2 linked regions of the Drosophila melanogaster genome follow. The protein of the gene in region 2 interacts with the protein of the main gene of each other region in a biochemical or structural test. Each region holds a gene or a part of one and is shown on either strand. Other genes may lie near its edges.

Region 1 (4,084 bases), on a different chromosome or scaffold from region 2:
TTACTGCGGCGAGATCGCCCACGGCGTCTCCTCCAAGAAGCGCAAGGAGATTGTCGAGCGCGCCAAGCAGCTGTCGGTCCGCCTCACCAACCCCAACGGTCGCCTGCGTTCTCAAGAGAACGAGTAAGCTTAAGATTCTTGAGAGTTCTTGTAACGTGGTCGGAATACACATTTGTAAACGTTAATATACCGGACTTTTAGTTAAAAAATGATGTGCGAGTGCCGAGTTCAATTGTCATTTCTGAGATTGGGATAGCAGCACCATTGATAACATGTGCATTATCTGGATGGATATCAGTTAATCCAGACCATTGCGGTCTTTCTTTCTGATAGCAACTGCCTCGAGATATTAGACCAATATAAATTCCTTGACGTGCCAAAACTAGACAGCATCAATCCTTATCAGGGAATTTTGTTATATATTTTACATTTTTCCCCCTTAGTATTGAAAGAGGTTGTTTATATGAAATCATATATATATTCGCAATTATTTTTACAGAACAGTGTACAATTATTATCGGAAATGCTTCTGTCTAAATGAAACGCAGTAATTGAAATACCAGTAAATTATATTTTGTAGGAATCTACAATAATCAAGTACAAAGAGGAGGAAATACACTAGGGAAAGATAAACAATTACTTATTGTAGGCAATGTAGCTTATTTCAAGACCACGTCGTGATCAAATTGCAAGTGGTGTTCGAGCTCCTTCTTGTTCTCGAAGTTGGTATTGCAAATGAGACAGAAGCCGCTGTTCTCATCGTTGTCGGACATGATGACGGTGACGGCCGCCTCCGATTCGTCGACGTCCACATGCAGCTCCTCCACCACCTGCTGCTCGTCGGCGGGCGCCTCCTCGCGAACCCCGTAAACGACGTCGCCCTCGTGGGTCTTCATGTGCATCTTGAGGGTGTAGCGCTCGGTGAAGGACTTGGGGCAGACGGAGCAGTAGTGTCTTGGGCGGTTCTCCTTGTGAATGAGCGTGTGATGGTTGAAGGTCTTGCGCGACTTGAACGACACATTGCAGATGCTGCATATGATGGGGTTCTCCTCAGCCTCGTGGCGCAGCCGGTGGTTGTAGAGTAGGTTGTCCTGGGAGAACCTCAGGCCGCACTTCTCGCACTGGTACTTCTTCTTGTCCCAGTGCATGCGCATGTGGCGCAGGGTGTTCACCGGGCGCGAGAAGCTCTTGGGGCAGTAGCGGCATTGCTTTTCCGTCTTGCCCTCGTGCAGATTCATGTGCAGCTCCAAGTACTCCTCGTCGCGCCGGATCACCCCGCAGATGGGGCAGATGTGGTTGGGCTGCTTGGAGTGCTCCTCGCTGATGTGCTTCTGCAGTTGATACCAGGAGTTGTACACCTTGCCGCAGGTAGTGCACTCCTGCTTGACGCGCTTCTTCGTCGGCCTGTCCTCGCCATCGGAGGACTTGCCATACAGGGCCTCGGAGTCGCCCACATCCACGTCCTCGCAGATGAACTCGTCGTCGTCGTCGTCGTCCTCCTCCTCCTCCTCGTCCACGAACTCTCTCTTTATCTCCGTGTCGGACTCCTCCTGATCCTTGACCAGCTCCACGAACAGGGCGTCCGCCTCGGCATCGGCGTCTGTCTCGACATCGCTTTGGGGTATCTCCACCTCCTCCACGAGTATGTCCTCGCCGGACTCCGGCACCTCGAACTCGGACTTTAGAGCGCCCTTTAGCTGGGTCGTCAGCCTCTTCTGGGTGGTCATCAGGTTCACCATGATCGTGTCGTAGTCGGAGAGCTCCTGAAAGCAGCGCGGGCACAGCCGGGCGCCGGGCTTCAGGTCCAGCTGCGTCTGGATGCAGTTGGCCAGGTGGGTGAGCACCAGGGACACTGTTTTCTGCGACGACGGCACCTTGGCCGACAGCGTCTCGTAGCGCATGGAGCTGGAGGAGCCCGTGTCGCTCAGATCGACGGCGCCGCAGAAGAAGCAAGTATCCATTGCGCCGACGATGGTCCTTTTAGCGATTCCGTTTCGTGCGGCGTTTGTTTACAATCTTTTAAATTGTGTATGAAATTTAATAGAGTTGGCAAAATGATGAATATCGGAAGCTATACTAAAATGCGTGAAATGCAACCATGGCATAATGCCCACCAGGGCTGGCGAACGATGCCGATTGATGCCAGGAACGGAACGGTGGGAATGGAACAGGGTGTGAAAACTGAAATATATGAGTTGAATAATAAAAATATGTGTTTGCTCAATATTGCAAACGGATATTCAATTTGCATAAATACATAATTTGTTGTTGATTATTATGGTGGTGTTGGTTTCTTTAGTTATGAAAACGAGTAGCATTTAATTTATTGATTCCCTGAAAAAATTGAATTGAATTATATAATTTTTTTATAATGGTATGTTTTAATTGTATTTTATATAAATTATGCGAATGGCTTCAACTTAATGAAGTAATTACATAAGTGTAAAGAACACAATTGACTTAGGTAGCTAATTAGAATCTTTGTAAGGATATGTTTAATCTTAATTAAGCACTTCAAGCCAATGAAGTATTAAAAAAAATCTCATACAGATAAGCCCGCGTATTTAGAATATGGCTCGCCCCACTCAATCTAACCTAAGAATCTCAGTGATTTGGAAACTAATAAGATCGCTTTCGCTGTGTCCGGATTCAGCAAGTGAGTCCTGTGGCCCGAAAACTGAGCAATTTCCGGTTTGTTTTACAAAGGATCGATGCCGTTTGCCAAAGGATCGACTGCTCCGCACAAAAGTTCGGGTTGCACTTGAGGGCACTTGAGCTTCGGAAGCAACTGAGGAATCGGGCTCCAGATTATCCCTGCATATCAAGTCCCTCAGCTTGGCCAGCACGGAGTACAGTATCTTAAGGCGCTTCACGATGCGCTTGGGATCCACTGGGACGTCCAGGTTGACCACGGCCTGGCACTCGCGCAGGATCAGAATGAGGTCCTTGTGCACCCGCTTGCCATCTTCACTGAGTCCCGAGTAATTGACGGGCAGCCGAAAGTGATCCACCACCACTCCGCCCCTCTGGACAATCAGCTTCAGATGGCTTTTGTCCTGTACGTGGATCCTCTCGCCCAGCATGTCCAGGTAGTTGTTGATCAGGGAGCAGCTATCGATGATTTCGTGGATGACGTTCCTAAAGATCAGCAGCTCCTGGTTAAAATGCTCCTGCAAGACCTCCGCGTGGTGTGCGGATGAAGTGGACTCTGGCAGCTGGAGAGCGGGCACAATGCACGCATCCAGGGATTCCAGTGAGGCCAGGCAGCTCCTGACAATCGTCTTCGTTTTGATGTCCTGCGAGAAGGCTATGGCCAGAACCCCAATCTGCTGAATGCGATCCATGTTCGTGTCGAATGCGGAGATTAGCTCCTGAGCTCCCGCAGGATCCCTTTGCAGTGCATCCTTTAGCTTCTCCACCGAAGCGTTTTCCAGATCTATCAGACTGACGAACAGCAAGTGCAGCAGCGCCTCATTGAGAAAGGATTCCAGGGCATAGAGGGCACGTTCCAGGGAGAGGGCCTCCAGCTTCCGATGACCACTGTTGGGCTCGCCCGCCTCCTCGTGGAAAGTGGCACATTCGGCGAGCAAGGTCTCGCACAAAGCCGTCAAAGCCTTCTTGTCCGAATGAATGGCCACATTGGCAAAGGCCAGGGCGTGGCGAACGATGTGATTAACTATGCTGGCCAGCTGGTAGGTGTCTTCCGTGAAGCTCTCTTCTAGAATGTGCAGCGAGTTGTTTCTCTGCTGGGCCAGCTTCTCCATGTAGTCATCCAAGTGGTCCAGAGCCAGGTCCATGAGCTCAACGAAGGAGTGATCCTCTAGGTTCTTGACTGGGGTCACGTTGCCTTCCAGTTGCGTCAAGGAGACGAGCAGTCGCCGCAAGCACCAGTCCAAGCGGTCGAGGAAGTGCTGCCTGGTCATATGCGGTGCCTCCATGCTGATGGTCCGCTCTAGGTGGGTGATGCAGGTTACCACCTGGGTGAGGCACAGGAAGATGGTCTCCACATCAAGGTTTGCGCCACTGGGCGCCACCTCCGGCAGCCTAGCCTTCAGATCGCTGGCGAAGTCCAGGAAAGTGGCGC
Region 2 (4,877 bases):
TCTGCCAGTCGAGAGAACCGAAATCAAAATGTTATATACCTACATAGATATACAAAAAGCCAGATTTGCAGCATATCTACGCGTAATATTACAACAAATTTATACCAAACTTTTGGCAAACATATCGTGCACTTAGTCCTAATATCCACCCTAAGCGAACATATTTGTATAATGCCCATCATATCCACAATTCAAAATTCATTTTGAGCGAACCACTTACCTATATCAACAACCAAATCATCAAATTAGACATACATACATTTCGCTATTCAAGTCAGTGTTTGATAAACTACCGATTTGTTGACTAGAATCTAAGCCTAGCATACTATATATATATATATATAGGCTTAAGTTTATTGTTTATTGCTCGATTTGTAGGAGTTTTACTGTAATTTGTATTCGTATTGTATGATAATGTACGCTTGCACTCCTAGATCTACAAAATATTGAAGAGAAAAACGAAATGGCTGGCTACGCAATTGGGGAGCGGCCAATACAAGCATATCTCTATAAGAAACGCATAAACAGCAGAACTTAGCCGCAAAATCGATTTGTAAATTACAATACAATAATTTATAATAACAATCTAGCAACGCTCTCTGTTTTGTAAATCTTAACAAGTTATTTAAATAAAATTTATTTAAAATAAACGTAATACACCATGAAATCGCCTTTTCCTTAATTTATTGTAGTGCTTTATTTGAGTTTTAAGTAAAATATAATTGGGAAATATACAATCAAAGTAAGTATTTTCAATCGATAAAAGAGCATAATTTAAATGAATACATAACATATGTATAATTATTAACCTAGATTACGACACGCTGATTTGCCCATTTACCATATGGTTTCCTTCGTTCCTCGTTTTATTATTCCTCTGGGTAAATGTATATAATGGACCGCCTACTCATCCTTGGCAAGCGTTGAGTCCTCACTTTCCTTGAACAGTATATCCTGGATCTTGGACCGCACGTACATCTTCCGACTGAGCGAAAGGTGGCGCATTGCGGGCACCAAGCTAAGTGCAAAATAGTAGTCGTCGTCCTTGGTGAGCTCCTCGTGATTCTGTTGTATGATGTAGCTGAGCTGTTCGCTGACAGCGGTCAGCCGTTCGATGGACGTCTCCAGGTTGTTCTTCAGCTGCTTGGCCGAGCTGCTGCTGGAGGACGTGGAGGCCACCACAGTAGCCTGTACGCCCGAACCAACACCGATGGGCCTGCTACTTCCACCGGCTGGTGAAGTCGAATGGGTTAGCACGGTCACTTGCTTCTCAGGCTGATCCAGGCCCTCATCATCCATCACGTGTATAGGACTATAGCACAGTGGATCCTCGCTGTATATGATGTCCTTAATGTCCTCGCTAATCTCATCGTTCTGCTCGTACTCCTCCCACTTTTGCGGCAGGGCGCCCGCCTCGCCCAGATAATTGGCGACGTTCGACTCGATCTTCGGCTTGGCCACACGCAGCGGCTCCCTCAGCGTCTTGGCCTTGGTAATCCGCACGGTTTTGTCTGCAATGCAAAGGATGGAAGCGATGGTTAATACGATACATATTGGTACAGCTACCGGATAATAACAAAAATATCATAACCCAGAGATGGGCGCCGGCGATAGTTTCCCGCCGACCCAAGGGTCGATAGCCCGCCATACGAACTTCGCTGGAATTACCTTTCTTGATGATTGGGATCATCCGGGCCTGGGGACGTTGCTGCACCGGACTGACCAGCACCTCGTCCCTGTGCTTGTGCCGCAGATGCGTCCACAAATTGGTCGTATTGTTGCCCTTCAAATTGCTGGCCATGCCACCACGCGATATATTGTTGCCGCAATAACGGCATATCGCAAAGTTTTCGCACTCCTCGTTAATATCGTAGTGCTGCCACACATTGCTAACACGACCCTTGGGCATTTTTAATACTTTTCTCTAGGTAATTAGTACGTCAAAAGTGATTTTTCTCCACAAATTTATTTATTGCGATATTGGCGTTGCTGTAGTCAGTGTTGTCAAGTGCCGTTGCAGTGTTGTAAAACGCATGAACATAAGAGTGGAAACAAAGGCAACGGCAAACAGAGGTGAAAAACGAAAATAAGAGAATGTTTACATACTTTACAACAGCGCAAAATCATAAAAATACTTTTAACATAACAATATTTTTTAGCTGATTTTTTAATAGCATTTTAGATAATATACAATAGGTTTATAAACTATTTACAAGCACAACCACTGGTTGGGGAAAATTCTGTACCTATCCTGCACTATTTTTATCTATAGTTTTTTTTTTCAAGACGATTTACTGCCTTGCTATAACTAGAGTTTCTACTTTTTCCGCGCCAAAGTGGAGGAGCCTGTACCGATGACCCGTGGATTTATCGCGATGGCATCGGGCACTGATCCGTGCTCGGTTTCTACGGCACGGAGCACGCGTGGCAGTGGATTTCGATTGTGAAGGGCGTGCGTGAGATTTCGGATCCCGAACTTACCGTTACTGCTGCTGGAGTGGAGACATCGGTGCCGTAGCAGGGATCCGGTTCCAGTTTTGCCGCTGTAGGATAACAGATCGCCACAGGTTTTGCAGCAGGCGTACGGCTCTATGTGGTCGTCGCACTGGACGAGATTGAAAAACCTCCAGACGCAGCTTTTGGTGTTCCTGGGCTCAACGAGTTTGCAACGCTTGTCCCCGGATTTTAGTAGGCTACGAAGCTCTGATTTCTTTTCAACATGCATCGTGGTGTATCGGTTGTTCGATTTGCGGTGGTAATTCGGTTTGCCAAGAAGAAAACAAACCCAAATTACAAAATGTACACAAATACAAACTCACGAAAATTCAGTCACGCACAAAACTGTGTTGGTAAACAAGCGCTAGCACGGTGCGAAAAGTGTAAGGTGGTGTAAACAGCCACTGATTTTCTTAAAAAGAACTTGATTGTAAGTTTAATTTTTTTTGAATTTTATTTGTTTCTTATGTTTTTTGAATATTTTCTTTTAGTTTAAAACCTAAAATTCTCATATGACTAGCGATTCCGATTACCCATAGTAAACAGTCTATCGATAAACTCAATTGAGTTGACTATTGTATATTGAATCAGTAGAATCTTTTTATTTAAATGGGTAAAGTTTCGATGGCTTTCCTACAGCCAGGACAATATCAAGGCCCAATTGAACGCCGGAGTCCGGCAATTCAACAAGAAGCGCAGTCGCGGCAAAGTCTGGAATGTCTTCTCCAGAATCGAGCTTGGTCAAATAACATGGATGCACTTCACACATGGAGCGGCACAAGTGCTACAGAACCTATGTCATATATCCAACATCAGAGGATGAAGAGGATTCCCACTGGAATCCGGACGTTTCCAGTGCGGACAAGGCTACAGATAAGATAACCGAGGCCCTGATGGATTGGTGCGTCGTGGTTAGTGCGCGGGACATCGAAACGCACTACGATTTCTTCTTGGTCTTTGTCGCCTTGGACAGCCAGGAGGATAAGATTATCAAAGAAATTCAAGGCTACCAGGCAATACAGATGCCTGCATGTGGATTAGCTGCACCGAAAGATGTTGCCCAACCAATATGAATAAAAGAATCGATTCTTAGCTCTAGCTTACCAAATTGTAGGTTTTCCTAGAATTCCTGTTAATTTAAAACTATTAATGATCCACAATGTCGATACACAAAAAAATTTGAAAAATTAAAATTTTGAATAAAGAAAACAATACGAACATTTAAAGTTTTGTCAATATTACCGTTTTCAAGAAATCCGCCATAAATTAAAACCCCAGAGTTGCAAATTCAAAAAGCTAATATTTTCGTTATATGCATTTATATACGTTGGTATTTTATGTGGAGTTTTAGAGTTGGCACAGAGAGTATATTTATCGGATTGCTCCACGGTCACACTGTCTCTTAATTTTTTCGCCGTCGCCGTCGTTTGTTTTTGGAAATGTCAATTGTTGTGAATATATCTGCTTAATTGTAAAAAAACGCCCAATCGGAAAAAGCACAAATATACGCAAAAAAATTTGCGAACAAGCAGCAAAAGTAAATGTCATTTAAAACAGTGCAAAATTAATACAAAGAAAAATGCTACATTTTGTTGCGTCTGCTCCTGCTTTGTGTGTGTGTGTGTTTTTGTGTATGTGTGCGCGTTGTTAAATAAATGAATTAAAAGACAGAGTTACACATTTTAAATGCGAAATAATGAAAAACGAGCTCATCCAGTGCTCTCTCTTTCTCGCCCTCTCATTTTTACTGTTACTAAAAAGAAGTACTCCAATTCACGCACATGCATACATACGTAAGCCCAGTGAAAAGCGAAAACAATAAGAAGAAAATATAGTTGGAAATCCGCTGCGGTTGGCAATTAAACATATCGGTTGGGAAAATCGGTGAAAAATTATAGCTGTGCTGCAGTATGTATAGGCGTATGTAAATATGAAATATGTAAAGGCAGCAACAGCAAGCAGAGCAGCATATACACACATGGAGAAATCGCCCAAAAAACTTTCTGCGCAAGCTGCGGAGAGCGCGTGCGAGAGGGAGATAGAGTGACGGAGAGTGCGAGAGCGAGCGCGATTGATTCGTTGGTGCAAATTTTATGTTAATAAAAAAGTAGTGCTCGCAGCAAATGGTAGTTCAAAAAAGCTAAATAAATAAGAAAACTAACTATATAGTTTACAATTCCGAATAGTCAGTGTTTGAAACGCGTAGAGAATACCGAGTTGAGCCTCTCCTTCTCTCAATTTTCATCTGTTACATCTTTTGTTGCTTGGAAAAATCCGTGTATGTACGCGTTAGTGTGTGTGCGCGAAGTTTTCCACTGTGTTTGTCTACACGCCCACATGAAAAGCGCCGTGTTTGTGTATTTGGGGAAAAGTAAAAGTGA

What was found.
Region 1: the proteins of BEAF-32 (region 2) and Sry-delta form a complex in vitro, tested with the Drosophila melanogaster proteins (one study listed by BioGRID).

Annotation. Positions count from the first base shown.
Region 1 is NT_033777.3:30,041,356-30,045,439, reverse strand, and holds Sry-delta (serendipity delta), read right to left. Parts: upstream 2,100-4,084; 5' UTR 1,962-2,099; coding exon 660-1,961; 3' UTR 554-659; downstream 1-553. Other genes in the region: RpL32 (ribosomal protein L32), read left to right, coding at 1-127; Sry-alpha (serendipity alpha), read right to left, coding at 2,586-4,084. UniProt on the Drosophila melanogaster protein: Transcriptional activator that controls bicoid gene expression during oogenesis. Found in transcriptionally active cells. Binds to specific sites on polytene chromosomes of third instar larvae. Binds to the consensus DNA sequence 5'-YTAGAGATGGRAA-3'.
Region 2 is NT_033778.4:14,768,434-14,773,310, reverse strand, and holds BEAF-32 (boundary element-associated factor of 32kD), read right to left. Parts: upstream 2,843-4,877; 5' UTR 2,726-2,842; coding exon 2,482-2,725; exon of another isoform or gene 1,910-2,481; coding exon of another isoform or gene 1,669-1,909; intron 1,512-1,668; coding exon 904-1,511; 3' UTR 681-903; downstream 1-680.